Styela clava: one gene and its partners. The protein of the gene in region 1 binds, or shares a complex with, the protein of each later gene. Links are inferred from orthologs where the notes say so. Each region holds a gene or a part of one and is shown on either strand. Other genes may lie near its edges. The genes, in order: G-patch domain and KOW motifs-containing protein-like, crooked neck-like protein 1, splicing factor 3B subunit 2-like and cysteine-rich PDZ-binding protein-like.

The links.
Region 2: G-patch domain and KOW motifs-containing protein-like (region 1) and crooked neck-like protein 1 share a complex: the UniProt entries of both Homo sapiens proteins name them as parts of the minor spliceosome. The link is inferred for Styela clava from reciprocal best matches to the Homo sapiens genes GPKOW and CRNKL1.
Region 3: G-patch domain and KOW motifs-containing protein-like (region 1) and splicing factor 3B subunit 2-like share a complex: the UniProt entries of both Homo sapiens proteins name them as parts of the minor spliceosome. The link is inferred for Styela clava from reciprocal best matches to the Homo sapiens genes GPKOW and SF3B2.
Region 4: G-patch domain and KOW motifs-containing protein-like (region 1) and cysteine-rich PDZ-binding protein-like share a complex: the UniProt entries of both Homo sapiens proteins name them as parts of the minor spliceosome. The link is inferred for Styela clava from reciprocal best matches to the Homo sapiens genes GPKOW and CRIPT.

The regions. Positions count from the first base shown.
Region 1 is NC_135251.1:15,497,555-15,504,612, reverse strand, and holds G-patch domain and KOW motifs-containing protein-like, read right to left. Parts: upstream 3,010-7,058; 5' UTR 2,465-3,009; coding exon 974-2,464; 3' UTR 425-973; downstream 1-424. Other genes in the region: uncharacterized protein LOC120335364, read right to left, coding at 1-93, 167-242. UniProt on the Homo sapiens protein: RNA-binding protein involved in pre-mRNA splicing. As a component of the minor spliceosome, involved in the splicing of U12-type introns in pre-mRNAs.
Region 2 is NC_135255.1:8,359,210-8,367,007, reverse strand, and holds the start of crooked neck-like protein 1, read right to left. Parts: upstream 3,019-7,798; 5' UTR 2,890-3,018; coding exon 2,839-2,889; intron 2,512-2,838; coding exon 2,422-2,511; intron 1,835-2,421; coding exon 1,772-1,834; intron 1,698-1,771; coding exon 1,606-1,697; intron 831-1,605; coding exon 672-830; intron 132-671; coding exon 38-131; intron 1-37. Other genes in the region: protein cereblon-like, read right to left, coding at 3,489-3,977; uncharacterized protein LOC120331723, read right to left, coding at 4,955-6,502. UniProt on the Homo sapiens protein: Involved in pre-mRNA splicing process. As a component of the minor spliceosome, involved in the splicing of U12-type introns in pre-mRNAs.
Region 3 is NC_135251.1:20,765,492-20,773,510, forward strand, and holds the start of splicing factor 3B subunit 2-like, read right to left. Parts: upstream 3,007-8,019; 5' UTR 2,930-3,006; coding exon 2,758-2,929; intron 2,614-2,757; coding exon 2,558-2,613; intron 2,437-2,557; coding exon 2,025-2,436; intron 1,846-2,024; coding exon 1,670-1,845; intron 1,313-1,669; coding exon 1,209-1,312; intron 328-1,208; coding exon 67-327; intron 1-66. UniProt on the Homo sapiens protein: Component of the 17S U2 SnRNP complex of the spliceosome, a large ribonucleoprotein complex that removes introns from transcribed pre-mRNAs.
Region 4 is NC_135255.1:21,668,649-21,676,558, reverse strand, and holds the start of cysteine-rich PDZ-binding protein-like, read right to left. Parts: upstream 3,014-7,910; 5' UTR 2,892-3,013; coding exon 2,876-2,891; intron 2,419-2,875; coding exon 2,353-2,418; intron 1,050-2,352; coding exon 912-1,049; intron 1-911. Other genes in the region: general transcription factor 3C polypeptide 6-like, read right to left, coding at 3,729-4,289; serine/threonine-protein phosphatase 2A activator-like, read right to left, coding at 5,643-6,740. UniProt on the Homo sapiens protein: As a component of the minor spliceosome, involved in the splicing of U12-type introns in pre-mRNAs. Involved in the cytoskeletal anchoring of DLG4 in excitatory synapses.

The DNA of each region.
Region 1 (7,058 bases):
TTGGAGGCCTTGGATCCTGCCATGTAGTTGTTTGGTTTCTATGATCAATGAAAAAGGGCCATCCTGTTGCCTCGTCAATCCTCATTTCCCATCCTGATTCAAAACATTATCAAAGCTCAGGACCAGGAAATTTATGGTCAACATTAATAGAAAATTAAGGACATACCTGGAGGAAGTGGATCCATTGATATGTTTGGAGGTGGAGGGGGGTAGTAATTATTAGTCGGATGTGGATACGACATTTTTTTCGTCTGTTTGTACCTAGATATTGAGCTATTCACAGTGTGGTTCAGGCAAATATTGAGTCACTGCAGTGCAGGGTTGGTTAGTACTTCACTATCATTTGTGTTATTGATGAAGGTATATCCAATCAATTTAATGATGGAATGCTTATAAAAGCTAAAAATTATTACTACCCTATTACTGAAAAGACATCATTACAAAACATAAATATAAAAGTGCGATAGAAATTCCATTTTAATACAATTCATCATCTGCAATTGTTAGAAGCAACAATAAAGAGATATTATCACTTGCAGAATACTCGTATTGTCTATTTTTTGTCAAATTAGGAATCGAAAACCGTTCGTTCAACATTGGCAATACTTGGATGACTGATATAAAATTTCTGTGTGTGAACAGTATTTAGTCAATTTATTTTACCATGTTTTAGGAGATTAATTGATAATTATCGAAGCATAAATTTAGAAATCAAATCAGTTAGCAGAGTAGTAGTTTATATCAAAATCATATTATGATAAACTTGTTGATATAAGATTGTTTTTTATCCAAAGGCATCAGGTTATAGAAAATGAACAAAATTACAAATCGTATCTAAATTTATAAAACACATATCTAAATGATAAGGTTTTCGAATTCCAATAAAGGCATCCAAAATATATTGAAAACGCTGTAACATCTTACCATCAACCTAACGGCAAAATATAATTAATGCTTTTTATTTTGGGCAAAATTAAAACATCATACTGGCTTCAACATCGCCAGTATACTCGCACATTTCTTCAAAAGCAACCCGAACCACAACATCTCTATCTTCAATTAACTGAACCAGAGCTTCACAATTTGCTTTATCTTTTTCTAGAATTTTAGCAAGTTTCCCTGAATGTTTCGATTTGAATTTTGATTTCACTATAATTATATAAGAATCGGAAGCTGATTTTGGAATAACTGTTTCTAACATTGATTCTTCAATATCATCCAACAATCTACCATCTGTCGTTTTGCAGCAACAAAGTCCACCACCTAAAACATCTTCAATAATTACTTTTTCAAGATAGTATCTGCCTTTTTTGTACGATTTATCAACAATTCTGACTCTCATTTGAGGTTGTACCCAATGCGAGAGAGTAGAATTTGAGTCTTGTTTTGGAGAAATCTCTCTATTTGACTTATGTTTCTTTGATTTTTTATGTTTTGGTGGTGAATATTCTTTGTGTCTTCTTTTCCTTTTTTCTTTATGCTTCATATCTGTATCTTTTTGGTGTGACATAGCTCTGTCAGAACCTGGTGATTCTCGTCTTTTATCATTTTCCTCTGTATTTTTTCCATTACCTATTATAAGCATGTTATCCCCAGTATATGCTTTGCTAAGTCTACTTAAATCCTTCGCATTTTTATCATATTCCTTTTTTGTAACAACTCTAAGACAGTGTTGTCCAATTTGTTCAGATTTACCCCCTATTGCCATTTTGACAATACATCTTGCAGTCTCAATGTCTAGGCCCAAAATGACACCATATTTGTTTCTCAATGCGCCCCTGTGAATGAATACGTTAGCACCTTTTTCAAGTGCTAATTGATTTTCCTCTATATGAGTTTCATCTCGATTTGTAGTCTTAGTTGTATCAGCTTTTATTGGGGTAGCCACATCAGCACCAAGACCTAAACCTTTAGGCCTAACTTGCTGGTGCAACATTTCTGTGTTTTGTTTGAAAGTTCGGCCAATTCCCACTTCAGGTTTCCAACCCATCCCACGCAGTACTGCCATGCCAAATGCAGCCACAGGGATTTGATCATATTGGGCCTCTGATGCTTCATCAGGTCGCAATGATACATCTAGTTTATTATCAGTTTCATATCCCTCGGGCACCTTATTTTTCATAAGAAGTGGCACTGCAAGATTTTCAAAATCTTCTCCGTTTTGATCAGTATCTTCTAAAAATGTTTTAGATTCTGCAAGAATTTCTTTAGCTGCTTCCGCATCAATACTACTGATAACATTTTCTGCTGATGTCTTTTGTTTATTCACAGATGTTGGTATTTTATAAACATTTTGTTTAATTAGGGGTATAACCAAATCCCTTGGTGGTTCTTTCTGAAGTTTAGTTGATTTTATTACTTTTCCTTCTACGGTTTCAAGATAATCCGGCTCTTCATTTTTAGGCTTTTCAACATTCACAACCTTGGATTCTATTTTCTTCTTGAATCCAAAGGAAACTGACATTATGACAAACTCTAAAATATAGCAATAAGAATGGTTAATTTTCTAAGAAAATATAAAATTCAATTTTGCTGTTTGGTATTCACTTCATTCATTTTAAAGTTTACTGATTAACAGATTAAAGAAATAATAAGCAATCAAAAATCAATTTATACTTCAATTGTCTCAACTTCAACTGTCATTTCCTTAGATCTGTAGATTTTGACATATCAAAATGTGTTACCATACAGCCATAGCTTTTCAAGGTAATGTTCAGATGTCTGAGTGTAAAATGACAATAACTTGTACGACGAGTTCAAAATAGATTAGGCTATCTCGATCTGTGATGTGCAACCCCGCATGCGGCTCTCAAATACTCTTCCTGCTGTCCCGCTGCGGCTTTCATTATCCTTTAAAAATCATCATATTCAATGAAAGCTATTTTTATCTCAACCTGATACGGTACCGGTAGTTCAGTAATTTGCTCGTGATTTGAGCTTGGTCTGAAAGCTCAAAGATCGGCTTAGAATATTCTGAGAACTTCCATCGGTCGACTTCACTAACACATAATGTTAAATATGAATTCGATCCATAGCGCCATCACGCGACAGAATAAAGCAGTTGTGACAGGATACTGAGGAGTAAGAACGGAAAAGAACAATTTAGTGCAAGTGATGAGACGGATTAACAATATCGCGTACCACAGCGTCTCGTCCGATCACTAGTTCTTGTCGGGTGTGGGGTTAGATAGTCAGTTATTTGTTTCAGATGCATGGACTCGACGGGTGATGAAGCAGCCTCTACGAACCCACATAGGGTAATCGGAGGTATAACGATAAGTTTATTTCGACTCCATAATCAGCAACAGACGATAAAAAAATTGATAAAAACAAAATAATTAAAACTGATTATAGAATTGGAAAAGTAAACCAAACCTCAAGTAAGGTTTGAAGCGTACAGATTTTAGGTGGGAAGGTATTGATACAAGAAGTAGTGCGTGTTCGCTTACCCAAAAGGTGCTATTGTCACGGACTAAACACTAAAGTGTCCGTGTTTATATGGACCTTTCCCCGCCCTTTGACCCCCGTAAAATTCTTCCTATACTTTACCATTGCAAAATTTTCAGTGCTATTTTCGGAGTGCTTTTGCGAGTTAGCGCCTGTAAAATGGGGTATGTGTTTCAAACCATCATTATGCTTCATCGCACACAACAATCTGTTTTTTAAAAGTACCGGTAAAAAATTTCAGGCTAGTCTATCACAGCTATTTCTACACTAATTTTTATTACTGCAATTAAATTAAAACTTCTAGGAAGACAGAGTGGTCATTGAATTATCTGATTTTTATTTAAGTTTCCGAAACACAACTGAAAACAAACGAATAGGGTTCAAAAACGAGGTTTACAACCACGCTTGAAAATCTGTCTGAGTGAGAAAAGTGTCTGAGCGGATGGGAAAAGGGGGCATTGTTACGTCACTTTTTGCATCTTGCTGATTGGCCAATGTCACGAAGTAAACACGGAAGTCGATGCTCGGGGAAAGGTCCATTGTGTGTATATATTTTTTTTATGTTTATAGACTAGTATGTTTACCCTTGTTTAATGCTGTTTTGTCGGATCTGGACTCCGACCACTGACACGTAAGAAAAAAACTACCTATGTCTTTTCCCCTTTTTTCTGCGGCTGCTGCGCTGGCGGGCGGTCGTGTTTTTTAGTTCTTTAGTGATGTAATCTGTTATGCTGTTTTAAGTTTGATATTGGAGTTGCCGTGCAATAAACAACCAATCCTGAATTCTTGAGTCTTCTGATTCATCTACATTCTACAACCACAGAAGCAACATTTTTTTTACCGTGACACTATGACAAGTGAATGCGATGCGCCATCGGCCGCGCCGATCAGCCTGGCTTATTTAGACAAAAAATGAAATAAACCTACTCGATTTCGTTGAATCAATGAGCATATATGCTCATTGGTTGATTAAAGCGTGACATGCTTTTTTTTGTCTTTTGAATGCTGTTATTTGATATTACTGCTATATTTTGTGTTTTAACTTTGGAGACACCGAGACGCTACGGCACTGTCACTCTTTCTTTTGTTATCCTGTTAGAGAAGGCTGTGGATTGCAGTAATGTAGCTGCGGTTGTTTCAGTTAGATTTTTAGTGTTCTTGGGTCTTTTTAAGTCTGTAAAATTGTCCCTAGTTCTTAAATAGGTGACCTAATGTGTTTAAATCTGGATAGGCTTAGATATTGTTATGTTAGTCAATAGGATGATACCGGTATAGCAAAGGGTTCCACTGGAACATGTGATGAGGGGTTATGTTCAGGCCGGAACGACAACCGGATAAATTTGATTGATCGAAACATTTGGGCTCATTTTTGTACCATTTTAAGGCTATAGCCGAGTCTAATGGTTGGGATATATGTGGACACGATGGGGGAGTGAATTAGGCATTTGCATGGTAGGCAATGCTCTGAGTCATTGAATTGATTGTGAACGAACGTGAATGCTTTGAGGCTATCGTACGCCATTTTAAAAAGTATTTCGAAGTGAAGGGGGTATTGAAATGCTTCGAGCCGTTTTCGGTCAGTCCGCGAAGCTGGCAAGAGAAACCAATAATGAATTTGGCGGTGCATTGAAACAGCTAGCTAGTCGAGCTTATCCATAATTGAAGCCTTAGGATAAGGATTAAGAATGACTTGGCCAAATCGCAATTTTTGTGAAGGTTATACAAGTTTCATTTCCACATTGGCCTTTGCAATCCGCCATGTTGAAAGATGTAATGTCGTTGGCTACCAGATATTAAAGTTATGAAAGGCCATGGCAAGCCACAAAAGAGGGAACCAAATTTAAGCTACCGTAGCAACCGTAGCAATTTCTAACGATGAGATATTTGGGGCTGATATTACCAACGAGATCCCGTGTATCCCCAAGTTCCATTATCCCTTGTTTCAGATGCGGTCAAGTGGAACATAGAATCAGTGATTGTCGCAGACCACCAACTCTTACACCACCGTCTACGGCTCTAGGCCATGTCCCTACTATAAGCAAACGGGTCATTGGGCACGAGATTTTCCAAATCCAGTTTTCGGTGTGGACAACAGGGACACATATGCCCCCTGGCGCCAAGGTACAGGAGCGCCAAAATTTCACCGAAATTGGAGATTGCAGAATGCTGCTCAGTAACTGAAGGTCAACCAGAAACTCCTTTGGCTTTTCTTGGCTTTATTGTGTCTTTTGGTGACGACGTTTTCCCGAATCTGCGATTTTCTCCACAGATTTTGTTAACAATACCAGTTTCAATTGCATGCTGTGAACGGTCTTTCAGCAAATTGAAACTTATTTTGTCGTATTGGCGTGCATCAATGGGACATGATCGTCTCAGTGATCTAACACTTCTAAGTGTTGAGAAAGAAACATTGGAAAAAACAGATTTTGATGACGTGATTAACCAGTTTGCGACAGTGAAATCAAGAAAAATAAATTTATTGTAGACTATGTAAATCAACTTTGACAGTAACTGAGTGGGACATAATAGACATGTGCTATATTTTGTACAGCTTTACCTCTTCTTTAAATGAAATATTCCATTAAAATTTGAATTGTTTTTTCATATACAATTAAATGTAATAGAAAATATGATTGAACGTGGAGGTCGGAGCGCCAATTTTATAGTTTGCCCCGGGAGCAAAATATTCTGGCTACGCCTCTGCCCGGCGTCTTGGCTGGGCAAGGAGACAAATAGCGGAGGACACTGTTGACAAGATGCTTGAACAAGAAGTGATTGAGCTGAGTGATAGCCCGCACTCGTTACCAATTGTTCTGATACCTAAGAAAGATGGTAGTACGCGTTTTTGTATTGATTTTAGGCACCTAATTCAATTACCTACAGGTCCTACATAGATGGTTCCCCTTTAACTCGAATAGATGACATCGTGGGGTCATTTAGCGGATCAAGCTGGTTCTCAACACTTGACTTAGCTAGTGGATACTGCCAGGTAGAAGTTGATCTGCCTGGCAAAAAGAAAACCGTTTTCAGTCGGGAAATGTTGTTCAAATTATTTGGATGATGTTTTAGCCCACGAATGGGATTTTGACGCCTCATTGAGCAGTTTGAGGGAGATTTTCATTCGAGGTGCTGGTTTGAAACATAAGCCGACTAAACGCCAGTTGTGTTGGCAATCAGTTACCTACCTTGGATACAAAATTTCTTCCGAAGGAGTTTGCTGTGATCTTCCCAATGTAGCAACAATAGTCGAATGGGAAACGCCTCGAGTAATATCAGATCTTAGAAGTTTCTTGGAAACTGCCGACTATTATAGGCGTTTTGTATCTGGTTATGCCACCCTAGCATCTCCTCTGGTTCGTTGGATTAAAAAAACGTGAATTATGAGTGTCAGCTCATATTCTGGCTTTTCGTTTGGTTCAAGGGGAGTTTATTTTGGACACCGACGCGAGTATTACTGGTGCTGTTTTATCACAACTGCAAGGGGGGGGGGACATGCTTATTTCAGTAGGACTCTATCTAAGACGGAACGTCGGTATTGTACAACAGAGAGGGAGCTGTTGGCGATGGTTAAATCAGTACGTCATTTTCGCCATTATCTGTGGGGCAGACAC
Region 2 (7,798 bases), on another chromosome or scaffold:
TTTTTCATTATTAAAAAATAATTCAACCAATTTAAACCTGTTCATGTGGTTCCCATTCCATCCATCTCTCAAAAACCTGTCGACAAGCTGGAATATTGCCAAGCATTTCTTCCATGTATGTATATTTGTACCTGAAAAATATTATCACATGATCTAATAAAAAATTAATATTCAATTAAGAGAGACGGCTTACAAACTGAATTATATTTGCAAAGTAGAGTGATCTCAACATCACATTTCATCGCCACGACAGTTAATTGCAGAAGGCAACAATGGTATTTTTGGTCATCTGGGTGTATATCAATCATTTAATTGATTTGTGTATTTGGTTATATTAAGATTTTTGTTCTGACAGTTAGACCTAAATTAGTTTGAACTTGTTTTGCTCCATTTGTTAATTCCATTTAGAATTAGAAGAAGTAGATAGCCTACTTAAGTTGATAATCTGTAAAAAAACTGCAGTTCAAACTCCAACCCACAAAGACAATTTTTTCTTTCCACTGACACAGAAGCCTCGTGTTTTTCAATAAATGCTTGCTTAAAACCATACTTGAGCATAGGTGTTAATAAACACGCCAAACACGCCAGAATATCAGATACGAAATTCACCAAAGACTGCAACATTCTTTTTTCTCCCTGATCAAAAAACTTAGATTGCCACGCACACATACCATAATTGATTTGCTCTTGGTAGAATAGTGACTGCTCTATCCCAAACGTTTCTTGCATGATTTATTTGTTTGTTTTTCATTTCCATTTCTGCATATTTGTACCATAGTGTAAGATTTCGATATTCAACATCCAGAGCTCGTTCGTACACTGATCTTGCTCTGAAAAATAAGAGTGATTTAAAGAAAATATTATATTGTATATTGAAGCTGTCCTGAAAAGAACAGAAAATAAAGTAATCAATAATATAGGAGTGATCATTTATTCAATTCGGCAACTTGCGAAGTGCACATACCTGAGAAAACAAATATCATGGGAGGTAACTAGAACAAGTTATAAACTTATGAATCTTGAAAAAACTGCTTCGAATAGTTTGATCATACATCTTACAGTATTTGTTATGAGTTTTCACTCGAGCGCCAATCAAAATTATATTGATGATTGAGGAACACAGATATCGAGATATAGGATATTTTCATTGCTTTAAAATCCATACTTTTTACATAAATGGGGGCTTCTGCAACAAGAAAAAATCCTCCAAAGCAGGGGTTCCCAACCTTTTTTTCAGGACGACCCCAAAGACAACTTTCAAGTGTCCAGTGCGACCCCAGGTCAATATATATATATTTTTCATGAAACTTTAGAGCTTCTTTCACTGGACTTTTGAGTTTGGTCATGTGGTGGTATTAAGGAAAATAAGCTGAAACCCAACAGTGATGTCACAATAAACACCTACATTTTCAATAACAAAAGCATAGAGTGATGCCTATGTGCCTGTTTTACATTGAGCCATGATACAAACTGCTAAATTTAACATGGTTTGTCAAATCTTAGATGAGTTGTACCTAGTTGCGACCCTACCTATTTATCACTCCGACCCAATTTGGGGTCGCGACCCCTGGTTTGGGAACCCCTGCTCTAAAGGAAGACAAATACCTCTGGATTTCTTTCATGTTATCCTCGAATGCAGCGTACTTCATCCATGTGGATATGTGGGCTCTGTTCTTTCGTAAATTATCTTCAAAAGCCTGAAATTATACAAAAATTAATTTAAATATCCCAAGACACTTCTGTATAAACAGACAATTTGAAGAGATTATACTTTTCTTCTTCTGAGTTTATATTCATCAAGTTCATCTGGATCTGAGATCTTCTGTCTTGGAGGCTAAAATGTAAATCATATTTAAATAAGAAAGAAAGGTTCGTTATATAGACAGTGATAGACACAAATGTCAGAGGGCATGCGATTGCGTTCCCATATAATATATAGTGTTCCGATGGAATAAAAGAAATCAGCAGCGTTTAATTCAGGCAGGGTTGAACAATTATTTTTGCCATGGAGCCATATTGCAATTTCAAATTTTATTACACATTCAAATAATACAAATGTTACTTTTAATTAGAAGAGTGTTTTCCCTGTAGCGCTTCAACAATTCCTTTAATATCAGGTTCAATGGCACACTGGGTAGCGCAGAGTCGACTATCCTAACGATATCCTGCTGTGTTAGCACACAGCTCAAAGTGCTGCAACTTGCCCAGGCCTGATTTAAGGTGAACTATCGGACCATCGGACTGAAGTACCGTAATTGCCTCTAACGACTTCTTCCATATTTTAAGTATTGAAAATTTGAAATCCATTGCCAAAAGCAATATTTTAACAAAACCAATTTGTCAAACAATCCATATGTATATTTCAAGTCCAATAATGAAAATCAGATAACAAAATTTCACAAATTTGGGTTTTAAACTTACAGGAGCAACATTCTCTAATTCCCTTTCTTTTGCTTCTCGAAGAAGTTGTTCAGCAGTGATTTGCACAGGAGCTGGAGCTTTGTTCTTCACCTGAGATCGAATAATGGGTATACATAAAATAGCCATGAATTTATAGGTTATGAAAACTGCACATATTAAAAAAATGTGACTTTTATAGACAACTCGGATTCATAAATTCTCTTCAGCTCAGCCATAAAACATAATACAAATTAATCATTGGATAATTTTATGGTCGAAAACGAAAAATACACACAAATTTTAAAAATAAACACTTGTTAACTAATATTTTTATGACATGTTTTAAACCCTGCATAACAAGGCTCTGAACAACCAGTCAATAATATAAGCAACTTCAAACCAAGCTATGCCGTTTCCTTTGATTAAAAAATATGTTACCTTGGCCACTTTGGGCATTTTCTGTTTTCCACCCATTGTTGGTTCATGCATTTTGACTTTAGATTGATGATTGAACTTAGATTTCAACAAAATAATACTATTGGATGCTCGTAATATAATTAGATATACGGTAAACCAAAAGAGAGAATCCGAACGTTAATTTTAATTGATTGCACTGAAAAAAAGGTCGGTTGGGCGATAAAAGGAAAACACAATCGGAAAACATTTAAACCTCGGAAAATTTCATTATTTTTCTAACTTCAGACAGAAAAATGATTTAGTTACAATAAATATATATAACAGTGAGTCAGTTATTCAATATCAAATAAAGATAAATAATAAAGGCAGTATTTTGTACCATATAAAATAAGTTTATATGATCATGAAATTTTATTGTTTTAAAATGAAAATGATATTTTAACACTTTCCTTTCGACTAAAATTCTTCAAGAAGTATATCAATTTCATATGCAAGGTGTCTTGCCTAGTTATTCGATTTTTGAAGAGGCTGAAAATTTTTTTAAATGGCAAGAAATACTATACTACTATATTGTAGCACTATATCATTTCAAACTTCATGTTTGAAATAGACACCATCCTGCCATCTGTATTGCCCGACATAATTTTATCAGATGACCTAAGAACTTATTATCATCTTGCATTCGGATGCTGAATAATGACCAGAGAATCAGAATCAATATCTTGAATAATATGATCCATAATAAGTCCGTAAAATTTATCATTTTCTGTGAATGTCATGTGATTAAAATTCACTGGTTGATATTTCCAACCTAAGAAAAAATTACATCTTGAACAAGCAGAAATTCTCCATGAATATCCAGGAAACCAAGTCGCTTCTGTATGTGCGTCTTCATTTGATGTTACAGAGGCTTCAGAAAAAGTTACAACTTCAAATTGAGCACCTTGTGGATTTTCAAATTTTTGTGTAGTTATATGTGGCTTTCCTAAAATTGTTTTGTTCCACCTTTGAAGTGCAAGTTTACTTGGAATGGAAACAAGATCTTCAGCTTGAGCCACAGTTTCACCACATCGTTTGCATATGAACTTGCCAGTTTGGGTACGATGACTTAAGCCAAGTGAAGTCACATACATAATTACAACAAAATAAAAGTTCCACATATTCACAATACAGTGTATCTAGTGTTTCCACTACGACTTAATGCCACAACAGTAAGTTTTACCTGAAATCATACAAAGAATATAGGAAATCTACTAAGTATTTGCAATGTAATTGGCTACGACCAAAATACAATAATTTAATTCATTCATTTGTATGTAAGTTAGACCTTCTGTTATTTATGATTGAGTAAAAAAGCCTCAATAGTATTGCGAAAAGGGACAGGACTGCGAAGAGATTATAGCTTAATCATAAAGACCATTGTGCAAAAAAGTTGCTCTGATGTGGGGAAAATAAAATATAATTTTCTTAACCAAATAATTTGATTTAAATCAGAAATTTTTCCTAGAATTGATCCAAGTGGTTTTCTTCTGGAGCTCCAGCTACATATTTCATTTTGGATAGGCAATGTCAAAGGTCACGTCCCAAACAAATTGGTTCTATATGATAAGGAATACAGGAATAGTTATGTCGGCACATCCCACAGCAGCATTAAATCACCCACCAAAGTTACTTTAGCCTACAATATCATGGCGATCAGAGGTTTAAACATGCATATATTTATGGCAGTTTCAACAAGCATACCTAATGAAATTAGTTATGGGGCTAATAACATGATCTTTAACATCAAAACCAATCTCCACAATCAAATGTGCCACGGTAAACTACACTAAGAACTTGGGTAACCAGAATTGTGGGGTAGCTTAATACAAATTGTAAAAAATTAAAATTGACTGCTTGAGATAAATTTATCAACATGCAAAAGAATTATAGTCAACATTTTAGAAAGCCAAGTGATATATATATTTAATATAGCCAAGTCATATGAGGAATAAGCTCAATATTTAGTGTTCCCATCCTAAGTTAATACAGTGTGGGGACTGGGGAATGTTTCAATTTCATCTGCATTTCTGCATGATTATACTGTTTTCATCTGTGATCACTAAAATGTTTTTCAGATATGAAACAGCAAAACTTTTTAACATTGCAACAGGAAATCTTCCAATTTTCTTGGTAAATTTAAGCAGGTAATATGTTTGGAACAAATGAGGCCTTTGACTTTAATTATATAGCAGCGTATCACCCATCTGGTTAAATCAACCAAGGATGGAACATTTTGAACTAGAATTCCATGCAGAAGATCATCAACATTTGCAACCACCAATGGCAATGAACTATTATGTGAAATCGATAAAAATGGAAAATATCTCAAACAAAGTGATATTTTGGATAGATTTCTCAGATAATGCGGATACCGACTATTTAGGATTAAGCGATCTTGTAAAACTTTATGTCCGCTGATTGAATATGATAAGTTAGGAAATGTTTCACAGTTGAATCGTAATTCCAGTAGTCCTGCATTCAAAAACTCATTTAGGACCACAATATTAACGTCATTAAATCTCATGGGCAAAATAAAATATTTAAAATACAAATGTTCTTCCCTTCTCGCAAGATCCGAAAATAAAGTATCATTTTCAATAAGTATTTTAACAGTACTTGAGAAACTTTCAAAACCATTGTTGTGGCCTAATAAAATATCCCATACGCTTTCACCTGCAATTTTAATATCCGAATGGAAAGTTGAATATCCTTTTCTGAATAAATATAATAAACAATCATTGTGCCTATTAAAAGCACTCAAAATAACTGCAGAAATACAACAATCTTTCGGAGTAATTTTTGCAAGCAATTTAACAACGGGAAAATGTCCTTTTTCAGCTGCTACTGTTAATGGAAAACTTTTTAAGCCCATATGATCAATATACATGCACTTTAATGGATCAGCACCTTTGTTTAACAGCAACCGTACTATATTTTCATTTCCATTTTGCGCAGCTAAATATAAGGGCGTACAATCTGTGATATCAGTTGCATTCACATCCTTAACTTCATTGATCAAAAGTTTCACAATCTCTTCATTTTCAATAGAAACTGCCACATGTAATGGTGTCTTCAAGTCATCTGAATCTTGCACATTTACATCAGCCCCATTTTGTATTAAAAATTTTGTTGCTTGAATATTTTCTTTTTCAACAATTACATGTATTGGATAATCACCACTTCGGGAATCCTTCATGTTAACATGCATTGGGAATTCATCAACTAGAATTTCAATACATTTATTATGCCCATTTTTGCAGGATTCATGGAGAGGATATCCCATTTTGTCAATTCCCAATTCCGATTCTTTGTACAAGCTCATGAGATGTTTAACAACTTCAACATGGCCTTCACTAGAAGCAATAGATAACGGTGTTTCTCCATCAAAAGCAGGTGGGAATACACAATCCAAAATCTCTCTGGTAGATTCGCAATCTGACATTGCCGTTTCCAAAAGTATTTTAACACACTCGATATGACCGCCAAATGCTGCTTCATGCATAGGATACCATCCCCTGTTATCTTTGATCGTGTAATCCAACCCCTTCATCAAAAGTTCATGCAAAACTTGAGAGTTTCCTGCCCTGGATGCTGCTCCAATGCTTGAACAGGCATCTGGGTATGCAGATGCAAACACATCCATATGACTTTATAAAATGATTGCTGCAAAGGTATATGGAACCCTGAATATACATATATGTTGCAGATTTAATCATGTGGTGGTGAAGCCTAAGTGTAAATGAAACTTCTTCATAGTTGATCAAAAAATAATGGAAGGCTGAAATTTAAGAAAACAAATTGAAATTTTTTGATTTTACTGGTATAGCATAAATTTGATACAAAACAAAATTGCAGTATTTAAATAAAAAAGGATGGATTTTTCAGAATAAATCAATCACAAAATTCATACATGCTGAATCATTTACAGATAGAGTTGGGGTATATGCTTGCAGATTTTAATCCAAAAATTATTTTTTTGATTGTTTGTATGAGTGCCCTGTCACTCAATTTTTGCATATATCAATCCCAACCCCCACCTGACTGCGTTATCCGAAAATTATGTTACTACAACGTCACAGTGACATAATAAAGCCCTTCAGACTATATGAACTGTCATCAAAGACGCGCAGACAATCACCCAAAATCGAGCAAGCTATTTCTCGTCACAGTGCCCGCAGTGATTCCAATATGAGAGAAGTAGTAAGTTCTTTATCGTCGGCACAGATGTCATTTCAGGCGATCATATGTATACTTTGGCAAGCTCTATGACATGATTGTGATGGCGTAGTGATGTGATTTTTGGATGGCGAAGTCAGGAAGTCAAAAATCGTTATGCTACGCCCACTAGAAGTACTTGAGGTAGGAAAATACCTGAGACCCTGTTCATTGTTTTGTTCGAGAATATGTGAGACGATACGTCTACATACTGACATAATGCAGTAATGTGTAATGCTGCAATGTGTAAGTTAATGATCTCCTATTCTTATAAAACTGTAATATTACTCTCTTTTCAGCTTTTATAATCTCAGAATCTCTTACTGTTGTACTGTCTTATAAAATTTATGCTTACTGGCAAACTGGATTAGGTAGCCTACCACAATTGTTCAGGTTGGATGAGGTTTGTTTTCTTTCTTCTTCGAACTGTCAAGTCAATGCTCAAGGCTAGTAAATGTGTTTAAAAACTCATTTTAGCTTTTGCTCAGTTCAAACAGTCAAAAATTCTTCGCTTTTATCCAGTTATCTTATTCGTGTAATGTTTTATCTTTGTGAACAAATCCATGGATAGATTCGGTAGATAGTTTATTCGAACACTCCATACTGCCATAATACTATAATATACACAAATTTAAAGTGGAGAATTCTGGAAATTATTTTGATTAAATAACTACCTAGTAACTATATACTATACTGCTATAACTGGTACTGAACTACAGAATTA
Region 3 (8,019 bases), about 5.3 Mb from region 1:
GCCCCCCCTGGTGTATATTATCCAACATTAATTCCAACACATATGTAAAACCATTCAATAACCTACTCAATTTCAACATCTTTTTCTTGTTTCACTGCATCAATCTCTCCTTTCTCTGCGGGAGGTTGAGCATCTTTTGTTATCTCCTTCTCTTCTTTTTCTTTCTTCTTTTGTACATTTCTTCTCTTCTTCTTTTCTTTTTTCTTTCTGTTTTTGAGAGCTTTACGAGCTTGTTCAGCAACTTCTGATTTAGTAAGTGGGAGATTACCGGGTTTGGTATCTTCAACATACTGCTTCGTAATTTCTGCTTTTATTTCCTCGAGTCGCCTGAAAAAATATTAAAATATGAAAGTCTTGGAAGTAGCATTATTTAGTCACACAGAGGCATGCAGAAAGATTAACATTTTCTGTCTCCTTGCATGAAGTAACCTCGACCAGGGCTTTCCAAACTGGGGGTCGCGACCCCGCATGGTGGTGCGCATTGAATTTAAGGGTTCAAACCTATTTCACCAATTACACACAAAGTAGGCTACCATATCTATTGTACTTTTTTAGAATTTTGATTTGAAACACAATTATTAAAAACTGGTGCAAAACTTAAATTTCATGATTTCGAGAGAATACATAGGATCAAAAAAGCGACACGCTTATATAATAATGCAGGCTTTAATCGTAAGAACCGAGGAGCGGTGCGCTTGCGTAACAATGCCGACTTAACAGGGGTCACAGGAAATTTTCGCGAGCTCAAAAGTTTGGGTAGCCTAAGCCCCTGATCAAAATTTTCTCTCATTATATTGATTAAAAGTGATGGAGATTCTGGTTTTTGAAAATGTACTGGATTGTGAATTCAATATGAATTGTAGTGTATTTGCGATAATTGCATCACCATTTATCAAAAGTCAAGTCAAAATTTTGAATTTCTTGTAAGTCCAAATTCGGAATTCCAGACTTGATAATGGTTATAATTAAAGACAAAATTTTAGAAAGAAACTCAAATAAATTATGTTCAACACTGTCCTTAACATTCTGTTAATTAAGAAAGACCAAAGTTTTTAACAAAATAGGATTATCTCAAGTCTTAAATTTTCATTAACTTAGAGTCAAAATCGGGAGAATTTTTGAAATCTTGCAGGCGTCGCTGGTTGTAAAGTCCCAGACTTGTACATATCTTATAAAGACATTTTCAAACCAACAACATTTCTAAATACCTTTTTTGTTCAGACATTGTTGTTTCATTTGCTGGTTCTGTTGCTTTTTCGAGTTCCAATTTTCCTTCCATTGCCTTTTTGACTTCTTCATTCGAAACTCCAACCTATTTCAAATTAAATAGAAACTATTACAGGATATTTCGAGGTATAACAATGTAAACACAAATATATTTTTTGAAAGCAGGTTCAAATTCAACAGTAGTAGTAGTCGAACTTTTTCTAAGTTGAATTGGTTAAAGATCATATTAGTTAAAATGCTTTATATGGCTTCAATTCTGAACAAGCAGCCATTTCTAAGCAAGAAGGTCCTATTTTCGATAAGATCTTCCCAGTTTGGCAGTCTTTACCCAATTTATTAGTGACATGAATTTTAAACCCAGTTCTGGCCTGCAATGCCAACATTCTTACGTTCAATACTTTAACCACTATGTTATCTATTAAACAACACACAATAAAAATACCTCTTTTGCTCTTTCATCTTTGTAGGCAAGCATTTTTTCCAGTGCAGCTGGCAACCTGAAATCTCTTCCTTTTTTGCCTGATTTTTCATCTTCTTTCAACCTTCTTTCGAAATCCTTAGTTGGTTCCACACGACGTCCCATAAGAGGTTGGGGAGAACCACGTCGAGGAGCACGTTCTGATATTTATAAAAGGATTTGAAATAAAACTTGTATTCTTATATAAAATTTTCACTAATCTACCAATAAATACACACCAAGCACACAACACCAGTTAGCTTAGCTCCATATTATTATTCCATTATTCAATGACAGATTAACAAAAACTTCAGCAGCATATTACGACATAAATACATACCATCATACATCTCTGGTTCTCCTCTATACTCATCATGATTGTCAAATCCACTAGGTCCCGAAGGTCCCTCGAACCCGCCAGGTGGCCCATCAAATCCACCAGGGCCTGATGGACCTGACCCAGGGGGTCCATCAAAGCTACCAGGAGGCCCGTCAAAACCTCCAGGTGGGCCATCAAAACCACCAGGTGGGCCATCAAATCCACCAGGTGGACCATCAAAATGTCTCGGTGGCGGGCCATCAAAACTTCCTGGGGGACCATCAAAGCGATTCGGGGGCCCAGGTGGGCCATCAAAATTACCAGGAGGTCCAGATGGCCCGTCAAACCTATCACGAGGTGGCATGTTATTGAAGCGATCAGGGAAAGGAGGTCTATCAAATCCTCCAGGACCTCCTCGCATATCTTCACCATCCTGAAAATAAATTTATTTCTGAACAGATAGTGTTTCACTCTAAAATTATTACATCGTCAAAAAGAATGAATGAAAGTTATAGCAATATGACAAGTTGTAGTAAATCCAATTTGATACTTACATTTGGATGGGGTCTTCTGTTCATTCTGTCATTGAAGCCAATATTATCTGGTCCACCTGTAATTGGAAGAAAACTTGCTATTAAAATTATATATTCAATAGAATTCGCTAAACAAGGGTTGTTTTTTTGTTGATTTTTATTGTGCTATGTAATCGCAATCAACATTAATTACCAATTTAATTTGAAAAAAGAAATCTTACCTTGCATCATTGGACCCATATTCATCGGAAGTGGCACATTGTGACCCATCATATTTGTGGGCCCCGGAGGGGGTGGGGGTCCTGATGAGCCTCCCATCATAGGTGGTCCATGAGGCAATGATCCCATCATTGGAGGGGGTGGAGGGGGAGGTTGGATGTCATTGTTTGACATGGTTTATACAATGCTGTTGCTGCAAACTACTTTATGCCTCTACCTATCTACTTTATATAAATCTGTAAATCAAAGAAGATTGAGATAAATGGTTAAGCTGGGAAACTGTGATGCAAAAATTATGTTAGAGGAATTGTAGTCTTCACGTTCACTGCTTTTTTTAAATCCTGAAAAAAAAATTAAAGAAGGAATTCAATATTTTAAAACATTGGGTTTTCGGACTTTGTTTATTTGATTTCGGATTAATCTAATCCAGTAGGGGCACAGTTCTTCGATTCCAAGACACCTCGATACCCCCGACATTCAGTTCAATGAAGCGAACACTTTATTTGTCTCTGAAACGAGGTCATTGACTGTAAAAAAAAAAACTTTCTTGACTGTTTGACTTTCTTTTCATCCAAATTACAGAATTAACATAAATATTACTTATTTTATTTTATAAATACTCATTGTCTAAGACAGGGGTGTGCAACCTTCAATACAGTAGGGCCAGATAGTAATAACTACTGAACTAGGTGAAACCGTGGGTTGCACCTTAACATGGGCTATCTAGTAGCTGCAGGCACAAAAATTTTGGTTATTGATCTTGTGACATACATTGTTTGCACAAGCTAACTGTTAAGTCATGGAATAGATAATAAATTGGACTCAAGAATACTCGCACATACCATACCGGTATTGAATAAAATAAAAAACGTTTCGCGGGCCGCACATCATTAAAAATTGGCACTTCTCCGCGGGCCACACAATTTTTCCTAGAGGGCCGCATTTGGCACCCGGGCTGCAAGTTACACACTCCTGGTCCTGGTCTAAGATATCATCATCATGATTTTACTTTAGTACTTGTCTCAATACAAAAATAAAGTTTATCAACTTTTTGAACTCTAGCGGCATTGCAAGCTCATGATGATTGCCATAATTCTCTGGTCCTGCCAGCACTCAATTCATATGATCTATTAACACCATACAGCTGTACAGCCTTAACTTGCAGTACGGGTATTAACTTTTAAATGGGTCTTACTACTTACTGAATACAGTGCGAAACACCGCATAGAGCGCAAAACAGTGCAAAATAGCGCGAAACAGCGAAAAACAGAAGGAAACCAGCGCAAAACAGAGGGAAACAGCGGAAAACAGGAGACGCAGTCATTACCACCTCCTGCCACGAAAGAACCACGGCGCCTCTCGCCATGGTTTTATTGCGCTATTTCCGGTATATTTACAAGGTTATGTACCGGATTATAGGTCATCATGCGAAATTTTATCTACCTTTCTGGTGCTCCAGAAGTATGTGCAGCAATATGTCGCACAACCTGAATCCGCTACACACACACATACTATTTTCAGGTTGTGCGCCATCTTGGTGCACATACTTCTGGAGGTCCCTTTTTATCTAACCCTAACCCTAAAGCCAACCATATCCATATGAAAAATGTTCTAAATTATGGTACCCAAAATGTGTCTCAATAGCAGGGGCAGACCTGCCATTACAGCATTACTGGCTACATACGTTGGTTTGTGTTTTTAATTTGCTGCCGTGGTACTCCAACTCAAAACAAGGTGCCCCGAACTCATTGCAAAAAATTTTTCTGCTTCACACTGTTTCCCTCTGTTTTGCGCTCTTTCGCGCTGTTTTCCCACTGTTTTGCGCTGTTTCCCTCTGTTTTGCGCTGTTTTGCGGTGTTTCGCGCTGTATTCAGTAACTAGTAAGACCGCTTTTAAATTGCTGACTTCAGGAGTCAGGACTTACACATGTTGACTACATACTGTACCGTTCTGGTACCACTGTACCGGTATTTCCATTCTCGCATATAATGATCAACCAATTAGTATTGAAATTTTTTTTTTTCTGTTTTTGAATCAAATATATCTTTTAGTGTTGGCATTGTTTGTGATAATAAAATCCCTCTCTCTCTCTCTTTGCAGTGAAGGAACGAAAAGGGAAATAATGAGACGCAATTACAGAACTACGCAGAACTATAAAAAAAAAAAAAAAAGAGACGCAATGAACCCGTCCTCCTAAGCAGCAAGGATCTGGCGTTGCGCAGATCAAGTAATATCTGAATATACCTGTATAGTGTATACTGTATACCAAAGTGACTATCACTTTGCTGTATAGGCTACATAGCTTTTTTTTTTTTTTTTTGTGCCAAATAAATTCCAATGCCAAATGGAATTTTCGTATTAATATTTTGGTATCAAATCATTTTATTATAAATATATAAATTGATAGTTTTTTGTTTCCATGTTTTTGTTTATCGTTTTTCAATTTAATCCCATTCCCCCCAATACATCTGTACATAGGCTAAATAGTAAAAATAAAAATAAAGACAAAATTCATACCATTACCATGATGTCATTAATTTAATATAATCCAATATCTGAATATATGTCCAAAAAAGTTGAGTTAATCCCCATGTAATCTACTCAGCAGTTAGTTGAATATAATTTTAATTTACAGGTAATCTGTTTTTTTTTTTTTTGCTAGTTAGCATGAAAAATACAAGAATACAAAAATTAGACAGAGAATATGGAAAAATCCACGCTTTCATATTGGGTTTTTCCCATTCGCCATCTAGGCCTATGTTTCATAGTCGAAACCTCATCCTCTTTTGAGAATGATGTACAAATAACATACTTTCAATAATTTTCAGAGTATGGTGTTGCATATAAACTTACATCATGATTGACCTATGTAAAAGATCATCCATGCACCATGTGCTCATATAACAATAATTTCCACCTATTTCATCATATTTTACTGAATTTCGATATTCCCAAATTGTTGATTTTCCGCATATTATTGTGATTAATTTTGATTTGCATTCCGAATCGTTTGCTATAATAGTATTTTGATTAATATCTATGCAACACTACACTATGCAACACATACCGTATCTAGGCTACATAGCTATAAGCTAAGCGTGTATTATACGTCGACGTACATCAAAGTTTACTGAATATGGACCTTTCCCCGACCTTTGACCCCCAAAAAATTCTTCCCATACTCTACCATTGCAAAATTTTCGGGGCTATTTTAAGAATGCTTTTGCGAGTTGGCGCCTGTAAAATAAGGTATGTTTTTCAAACCATCATTATGATTCATCGCATACAACAATCCGTTTTTTAAAAGTACCGGTGAAGAATTTTAGCCTAGTCTAGCACAGCTATTTCTACGCTGATTTTTTATTACTGCAATTAAATTAAAACTCCTAGGAAGACAGAGTGATCAGAGCCATTATGCTCTGGAGTGATCATTGAAATATCTGATCCATACTTAAGTTTCCGAAACACAACTGAAAACTAACGAATAGAGTTCAAAAACGCGAAAACGAGGTGATGTTTACGACCACGCTTGAAAATCTGTCTGAGTGAGAAAAGTGTCCGAGCGGGCGTGAAAAGGGAACATTGTTACGTCACTTTTTGCATCTTGCTGATTGGCCAATGTCATGAAGTAAACAAGGAAGTCGATGCTTGAGGAAAGGTCCATAGTTCGTGCACAGTGGTTCGTGAGTCACTTCACAGTGGTTTCGCAGTTCGCTCACGGCCGGTTCGCCACGCATGACTGATGCGTTTCTACGTCGTCAGTTTGCGATACTTTGAAGCCTACCAATGAGCATATATACAATGAGTGGAAACTTGCAAAGATTTGCTCATTTTGGTATTGTTCCCTGCATTTTTACGTCGTCCAGCTAAATGGTTCGTTGCATATTAAGAAAACGCATTGCTCGCTGCCAAAATCCCTTGCTTCAGCCGAGTCGGGTGCGAAATTGGCCGTATTGAGGTCTGTAATTCTTCAATACATATTTGGTTTTGGGTTTCGAAGTATGGTACGCTGAAAGCATACAACTATGAGCATATGCTTATTGAGAATGCATATCTATTATTAGGCAGAAAACGTATCTACAGAACAGAATATGAACCAGTCGCCTAGAGGGGTGCGGTTATTTATGTATTTATTCATTGATATAACATGGGATTTACATATTTATCCATGGGAGAGGAAAGCCGAGAAGAATGCCTAAATATATGGCGAACCACGGCCTCTCACAATCATAGCTCTGTCCTCCATATGAATCACATGGCTCTGCGAGCTATTCGTTTACCTATTAAAAATACTGATTTTAACTATAAATTACTCTGGGATATCTTGCCTTTGAAAACAAAAGCCAGAAATTGGAAGAAAATCAGGGAATGAAACGTGTGTATTATGTAATGGAGAACCTGAGTTTGTTTCACATATTTTCATGTATTGTAAATTACAAAAAATATTTATGAAGAATTTGTTTTAGATATATTAAAATTGATTAGAATACATTTTGTTATCAATATGATTCTTGCATATCATTTAATTTTAACGATCCTTTATATAGTCATAAAGATACTGTTGATTTGGATGCAATTATACTTTTGTTATCAATAGTGAGAAATATTTCAGGACTGCTATTAACTATGTGAGCTATTTTTTCTGCAATTCAAAATACATCTTGCGTCTGCTATTTACTATGTGAATTAATTTTTCTGCAATGTAAAGTATTTCCATAACTGCTTTTACTATGTGGGCTGTTTTTTCGGTACTCTTGTAGTATGTGTACCAGGTTAGGTTACGATTCTCCTTATTTTTGTTCTATTAAAAGTTCGGGAATTGTCTGTGTTACACAAGTGAATATCCCCTACCGATAGAATTTAGTCCATTTACACAACTTGATATAAAATAGGCGAACAAAATTAGTTACCTTCATATTGGTACACATACTTCTGGAGCACCATTTTTTTGTAATGTAAAATATTTAATATGTGAACTAATTTTTTTGGAATGCAAAATATTTTCTACAGCTTCTGTATTTTTCATATGTCACTTTTCATTTCATCGAAAATACACATGGTCTGGCACATTGTTCATTCTTTTTGGAGATTTTGGTAAATTTACAGATGGAATAAGACCGACATTCAGCTTTTTTCTGTTTTACAACTGTAATACAAATTGAAGTATGTAAACCCAGTTGGTAGACACCGGAACCATGTGTACCAGGTTAGGGTCTACTACATACAAGCATTCCCAAACTTTTCAAGCCGCACCCCCTTTTTAG
Region 4 (7,910 bases), on another chromosome or scaffold:
AAAATGGACTTAGCCCAATTTGGATTTCATGCGTCGATATAGGGTGTCCATAAAACACTTTTATAATTCCAATTTTGTGATGAAGTCAGTTCTCAATATATCTTCACCAGGTTTGTTGTGTTTTAATCAGTAATTGTTCAAGTATTTTTACTTCATTTAATACAGCTGTGAGGAACAAAACAATATATGGTATATCCTAGAATCTACTATTAATAATAGGTGTTGGAGAAGAATGTTTGAAGTTTGACCTCCAAGAATATTATAAAAGACTCAAGTCAGGGATGTCCAAAGAAAATCGAATATTCGAATAAATTTAAGGTTTATAAATGAAGTTTCACAGCATAACCTAGAAGGCATCTATTTGAATGGAAATTGCAAAAATCAATCAAATCATTGTTTATATTTGCATTGGGTTGCGCGAGACTAACTTCCTATCTTTCTTCTATGCCTTTATGCTAGTGGATCCGTATGCGTATATTTCAAGGATGCTATAGCTGGAATAAACATGACTATTCTATCCAATTAATGCGTCTTGCTGCACACTTACACAAATGTATTTCTGTAACCTTCGTCCGACCAAACTCAGACATCCTCAGACAAGCAGTTTACAACAATTGATTGTTGTTACAGAAATACATTTGTGTTAGTGTGCAGCTGGACTCTTCAGTTAGATAAAATTGTTTATATGCCTGCATTTTCAAATTTCAATTCATTGAAAATATGTAGGCTACTATCGATTTTACCGGTTCTGCCAGACCGGCTACTTATCCTTCTTTTATGCTTTTGTGCTGGCGGATCCGTATGCATATAATGCAAATATGTTGTAGCAAGAGGGAAGATGACTATCCTAAGTGGTTCAAGAGGGTTGCCCCTTACCATAAGTTGGAAGAGGGGAATGGGAATTACCTTACCTTGACAAAAATTAGAGCCAACTTGATGAACTTGTAATTTGCATATCCGACATTTTTTAAACTTTCCGCTGCTGTACGGATTGTATCGATTCTTCGTCCCAGTCAAAGCTTTGTTTTCATTGATCTTACGTCCCCCCTCTGTGAAATAGGATAGGATTTACATATTTATCCCGGGGGAGAGGAAAGCCGATAAGACGGCTTATCCATATGGCAAACCACGGCCTCTCGTCCGGTTACCATTCCAAGTCAGGTATGTGATTAGTTATATTGTTTGTTTTCGGAGGCATGGACTTGGTGGTGGAGGAAGTCGTAACCGACCGACCAGCGGTTACGTGAACCACCCAACGACAGCGAGGAGTCCAGCAATCCGCTCGCACATAACCATCCCTGCATGAGATTCGAACCTGCGAACCCACGTAGAGTAATTAGAGGTGCAGTGGCGAGCGTATTCCTAACGCTTAGCCCGTTGAGCCACACCGTCGAGCCTGAAAATACTTTATTTGCCCATCTCTGTAGAAAAAACAACATCCTCCATAAACTGTACGTTGGGCGCTCTGGAAGTATGCAAACCAAGATGACGCACAACCTGAACCTTAACCTGGTACATATACTAATTTCAGGTTGTGCGCCATCTTGGTAGACATATGTCGAGTGCACCGTATATTCATACTATGTAGACCAGTGGTTCCCAAGGTTTCTTATTATATTTCTTCCATGGCCTATTTTGCATCTGTATTGCAATTCACAACAATACTAAATAAGTAAACAACACGAGAATATCGGTCAGAGACCGAAGACTCATCGATCGAAAGTTAGAGGATCCCCCAAAACAGCGCTCTTACTCCACAGTGACACCTTGTGTCTCATCACTAATTAATTAATAACTCGCTAAATATACGACATAATTCATCCAAAATCAATAGGCTTTGATCCGAGATATGAATGCATATGCAAAATTTGGAGCGGATTCATCCTTGCTTTCGTGAGATATCGCGTGTATCTAACAGACAAACAAAACAAACAGACAAATACCTATCAACATACTTACCGATCTTAAGATCGATAAGTAATAAGTTAAGCTACACCAAATACAAAGTATTTATGTACCCCCTAAACAACAAAATTTTTTACCGGTTAGCAAAGGTTGCCACTTGTCATCTAAATTCCTATGCTAAACCCCTAAAATTTGCTACGCTATAGCAATCCTGGGTGATGCGATGGTTTAACGAACAAAACGACAGATTAACTGCATCGACACTGCAGGTCGAACATCTCTGGTTCCCTCGCCCACGCCCCACACCCAGTGTCTGATAAATTGGGTAGGTAATGACAAAGCGGAAATATCCTGGTCCTTCCAAATAAATAGTAGCCTTTACACAGTAATGGCTGCTTGTATTAGACCATGTTCAGGTCAAAAGACGTCTTATAAAAACATTCCTACCGTTTGTATTCTTGGCTCCAGTTTTCCATGGATCAGGTGTCGCCACTGTTCCCAGTTTTTTCTGACCTGTGAATAGAATATACCAAGTTTAACCACGACGGTTAATTTCAAAGGAATCTGAGAAGAATGGTAATCCTTTCTCAAGATTGTTTCAGATTAGTTGCAAGAAGAAGAAGCTATTTATGTTGACGTTCCCTGTTCGATAAGAAATTTTTCTCTAAGAAAAAATTTTGCAGTTCTTGGAGAGGAATTTTGTTCTCCATGTAGTGTCACTTATTTTTTTAGCATAGGATAGGATTTAGATATTCATATCAGCAGAGAGAAAAGCTGATAAGACGACTTGATCATATGGCGAACCCCGACCTCTCGTTCGTTTACCAGTCTGTGTCGGGTATGGTATCTGTTTTCAGAAGCACGGGCTTGATGTGCAATTTGCTATACCAACACTGCGTTGGCAAAACAGTCTTATTACTTTCACCAGATGAGACAATCTCGCCATTGAAAACAATAATAAAATACTTACATTTATCGCAAACCATTGCTGTCCAGTCGTTCAATCTATTCTGTCCAGGAAAATTGTCCCCTAAGTAAGACAGCAGATAATATTGAAGAATTCAAAAGTATTAACTAGAGTAGTTAAGATTAAAATCTAAAAAAAAGAAACAAGAAATAATTTAAAAAACGAAATCCAAAGATCATGAGTCTATAACAATGTGACCAAAATATTCTAAAACCCTTGCTGGACTGGTAACCAGTGCTATGGACTGAAGAGTCAAGACAATATTTATCAGAGATTACAAGTAACCCAACTCATCTAAAAGAAATCAGTGATTGATTCGACTTGGATGACTCAACCTGACGCACATGTTTAGGCATATGTATATTCATAATAATTCAACTATACGGCTTCGGCCGCATTCGTGCGCTCCCCTCTCCCAGCCCGCGAATATCCTTCCGCTTCGTTCAATCAACTTTGGAGCGCTTGGGAGACTTCTACCTAACTATTAGTCAGACCCCTATATCAACACTTTGCACGTTTCATATGTCATTTCACACATTGCACTTTGAACAATACTCAATAACAATATAAAGGGGTCACTGATTCGTAAAATAACTAAAATTTTTAGAAAGACCAGAATAAGTGAATTTGGCATCCAATGAAAAATAAATGGCTGAGTTATTTAAAAATAGGGCAATTTCATTGGAAGTTAATCATCGGACGAATTTGAGTACAATTTTAAAAAATGTGATGCAATAATACCATGAATGCCATAATACAAAACCATGACAACATAATACAAATCAAAGGATGAAAAAGAGTCCATATCTCCCCCCAGGAAAAAATTGAAAATAGCAAATATGGGGGAAAACCCTAATCATTGAGATTCACTTTTTTCATCTACCGTCTTGTCTACTAACAAGGCCCTATACATTGAAATCTTTTTTTCTGTGTGCGTTAAATAACGTAATTTAACTTTCTGTTTTCCTGGAGTCGGTGTCACGGTACGGAATGTGTCCTCATCCTCACTAGACTCCCCGTCGGAATAATATTCCTCAAAAAGTGCGTTGGTGCCAAACGTTTCTGTCGGTTCACCCATAAAAATAAGTTCATCCAATTGTAGAAACATTTTTCCATTTTCATCAAATAATCCGATAAGTTTCACTCGATCTTTATCACATTTTTTGAGATAATTTTTACGCGCGACTCCATGCAATTCGATTAAACAATTGTCTTCTTCGACTAATTCCCATTCATCAGGGTTGAAGTCTTCTCTGGGAAATGGTTTCTTCTTCCTGTGACCTTTCACCTCAGAGTCAGAGGTCAAGTCCATCTCATCTGTTCCTTCTGCCGTATTATCACCTTTCACATCAGGGTCAGAGGTCGTGCCATTTCCATCTGACCCTTCTGCCATTGAAGAGTCTGTTATTTGGTCCATATTTCAAGATTTATGTTAAATTATAAATCTGAAATAATAAAACAATTAAAAACATTTATTCATTAATTAAAAGAAAGTAACCATAATATATAAATTAATAGGCCACAAGAACGATATTTAGACTTGATAGATAAAGGTACAAACAAACTGTTCGTACCGCTGATTTATGCTCGGGAGGATCGCTGGGCTCCACACTGCTAACTAGCATGTTTGAAAAGGAACGCTGTGTGCTGCCTAAGTGTTTGTATTTGGTGGTAACTGACTTAGATGATCGCGAATGGTCTTTTCGTTACCTACCAGTCATCAACCGAAAACTTTCGATTCTCTTATTTTATTATTATTTATATTTCTGTTCTCTAGTTTGATAAAAAATATGACTTCGCTCTCTCTCTCTTTCCACATTTAGTTGAAGGCCCAAAACTCTGTTTCGAGCAAACGTGCATACTAAGGACAAACAGTTGATGGCAAAAACATACAAAAGATTTCAAACGTCAAGAAGAGTTCAAAAAAATATGAAACATTCAAAATGACTCAACAGATCTGGAATAAAGAATAAATTACAGAAAAATATTAATCTAAAAAACTAATCCAAAAAGATGGAACCATAATTTTCCAATCACGATGAATACCCAAATCATTTTGTATTAAGTAAAAGTCAAAGTGAGAAAAGAATATTGCTTACATATATGGACATAGAAATTCTATACTCAAACTGCATAATCTCAATTGTTTGAACAAGGATGGATATATACCGTCCCAATCGACGTTTGAATTGCCTCCGTCACAGAGAGCCATTGATTGCTATATATTATATAGACAGCAGGTTAGGAATAGGGATAGATATATTGTCCCAACGACCATAGAGGGCTATTGGGCTGCCATAGAGACAGCAAGTTATGAACAGGGAAGGATACCAGTATGTGGTCCAAATTACCATTTAAATGGTTCTCCTTAGAGGGCTGTTGATTTACCATAGAGACAGCAGGGTAGAAATAAGGACGGATATAAGGTTCCACACAAGCTAATCAAGTGCAATGTTTTAAAAAATCCACTTCATTGCTCAAGTTCAACTTAATACAACGCTGTGGTTAACTTTGCCTGAATTCCCTGCCCTAGTAGTTTTTGTCTACGATTAGGTGAGCAAAAATATACGACATGCTATGTCCCAAACAGAAATAACTGATTAATAAGAAACAAATGACTCATTTCTTCAACGGGAAATGCTGTTCACAAAGCGTCTCAAATTTCCACTGTAATTTTTTAAAAACTGATTCGTTGTTCTATAACAGAGGTAGTTTTTAAGCTTTAATGTAAAGACTTGTCTTTTAAAAAGGTTTATTCCTTATTATTTCTTCAATTCAACTTTATACCAGGTTGTCTAGGACTCGGATCTAAAGTGAGTATGGATCCGAATTTGAAATGCTGAATAATCGGAAATTTCTGAAGTATTTCCGCCTTGTACATCTTCAATAGGCCGGAGTTGACTTTCCCCCAATGCGGGACGCCACTAATCCCCCAGAGAGTGTTTGAATGCTCAGCGAAAGGTCCCGTTTTTACGGACATGATATAATCAATGCATTCCATGAACATGTATTCTGATCGGTTTTCAGCGACAATTTTCGATTCTACAAAATGAACAGGTAGAATCGTGGGGTGACTGAAAAACTGCGACGACCCCCATATAAAGGGTAAAAATTGGAAATCATCTAACCCCCATACCCCTTGACTCCCTGCTGGCTCCATTCTGTAAGTCTTTTGCAACTTCCGAGCGACGTGTAAGTAACGATTAAAGACGTGAAAAACGGCCGCAAGTTTATCTTTTTCCCCCAGGATTTGGAGCTTAAAAAAACAACAAAGAAAACAAGCAAATGACATTTCGTGACCAGTTCCGTAATCAATTCTTGTGGAATTTCCGAAACCCCCGTGTAAATACTCCACAATTTCAGAAGCAGCTCTTTTTAAATTATCAGGCAAAAGGTCAGAGGTCAATTTTTCACCTTCTTCTTTTAACTTTTCATACCAAGTACGAAAAGCCTTGTTCCCGAATCTTTGCGGCTGGTCTATCGACGGCGTTTCATCAATCCATTTATCCAATAAATCCAAAAGTGCGACAATTTTTTTCGTCGTTTCAGACACTTCGCATGGAGCACTAAGCTTTTTACCTTTTATAGCTGCATTTAGCATCATTATAAATCCTAAATAGTCTTCATACCCGCTTGATTTTGTCCAAATTGCCATGTCCAAAACAGTTTTGATTTGCGTAAATGGAACTACAAATTTATGATCTTTAAATGGGTCATTTTCATCTGCTGTATCTTGATTTGCACCCCCACTTTCGCTTGTAGAGACTTCAACTTTTTCCTCTGCAACCTCTGGTTTAGTTTCTTCACAAATTTTCGGACTCTTGGATCCCTCTGCTGGCTCAGAATTTGCTTTATTATCGTCAGACATTATATCAGTTATTTTTAGATATTTGTTCTAATTAAGAATAAAAATTCTGGAAAAATAATTAAAATTCAATTGATTGATTGCATAATCAAAAATCAATTCATCAAAAATGAAGAAATAATTATCTTAAATCTACAACAAATTTTTTACGAGTTTGGCTCGACCTTTAGTAATGAAGATCATCTTTTTGGCTATTTGCAGGTTCTAATCAAGATTTAAAAGATAGGGCAAATGAAGAAATGTTTAGACCAGGGGTCGGGAACCTTTTTGGTCAAGAGAGCCATAAAATATACATATTTTCAATTGCATTTCCGTGCGAGCCATATAACATTTCTTCACTTGATCAGGCCTAAAATGTTTACTCAAAAGTCAACACATACAATGTCAATATACATTTAATGTGATTTCTGATGCTGCATGTAGTCGCTGCGGGCCTTGAACGGTTGCTCACATGCAGCCCAAGTTGAAATCTACGATTCTCATCACCCTTTTTCGTTTAGGCATCTCCGTAGTGTTTTTAAAACTCTATCGCTTTGTGATGTCACAATATATGTTCCAGAATCCCCTTGTTTGTCACAATGCCTGTCTGGCGATTATCTCACATAACATAGACATGTGCTGGGCGCGCGTTCTCAAACGTTTTGGGAATTTCCTGCCAAAATTGGCTATAAAAGAGTTTGAAATCTTGTAACAATAGTAAGCTTAGTCTTAGAATATTAGATTTTTCTGGGAGCCATATGCCGTCACCAAAAGAGCCATATATGGCTCGCGAGCCATGGGTTCCCGACCCCTGGTTTAGACCAATCAATCGGTACCCCCCGTAGTGTATGTGCCAGGTTAGGATTAGGCCTTAATTTTATTCCGATTTCCTTATTTTAGTTCTATTACAAGTTCAGCGACTGTCTGTGTTAGCCGAGTGCATAGGTTTCAGTCCTTTTACACAACTTGATGTGAAATAGGCGAACAATCTTAGTTACCTTCATATTGGTACACACACTTCTGGAGCGCCAATCAATCATCATAAACTTGTCAACAAAACGCACACTAATCATAAAAAAGGCAAATACCAAAAACCGATAATTACGCACACACAATTTTTTCTTACCAAAATTGGATTTTCTCATCTGTTAGGAGTCAAAATATTTACAGCCCGGAGTAAGGGGTCGCTCAGTA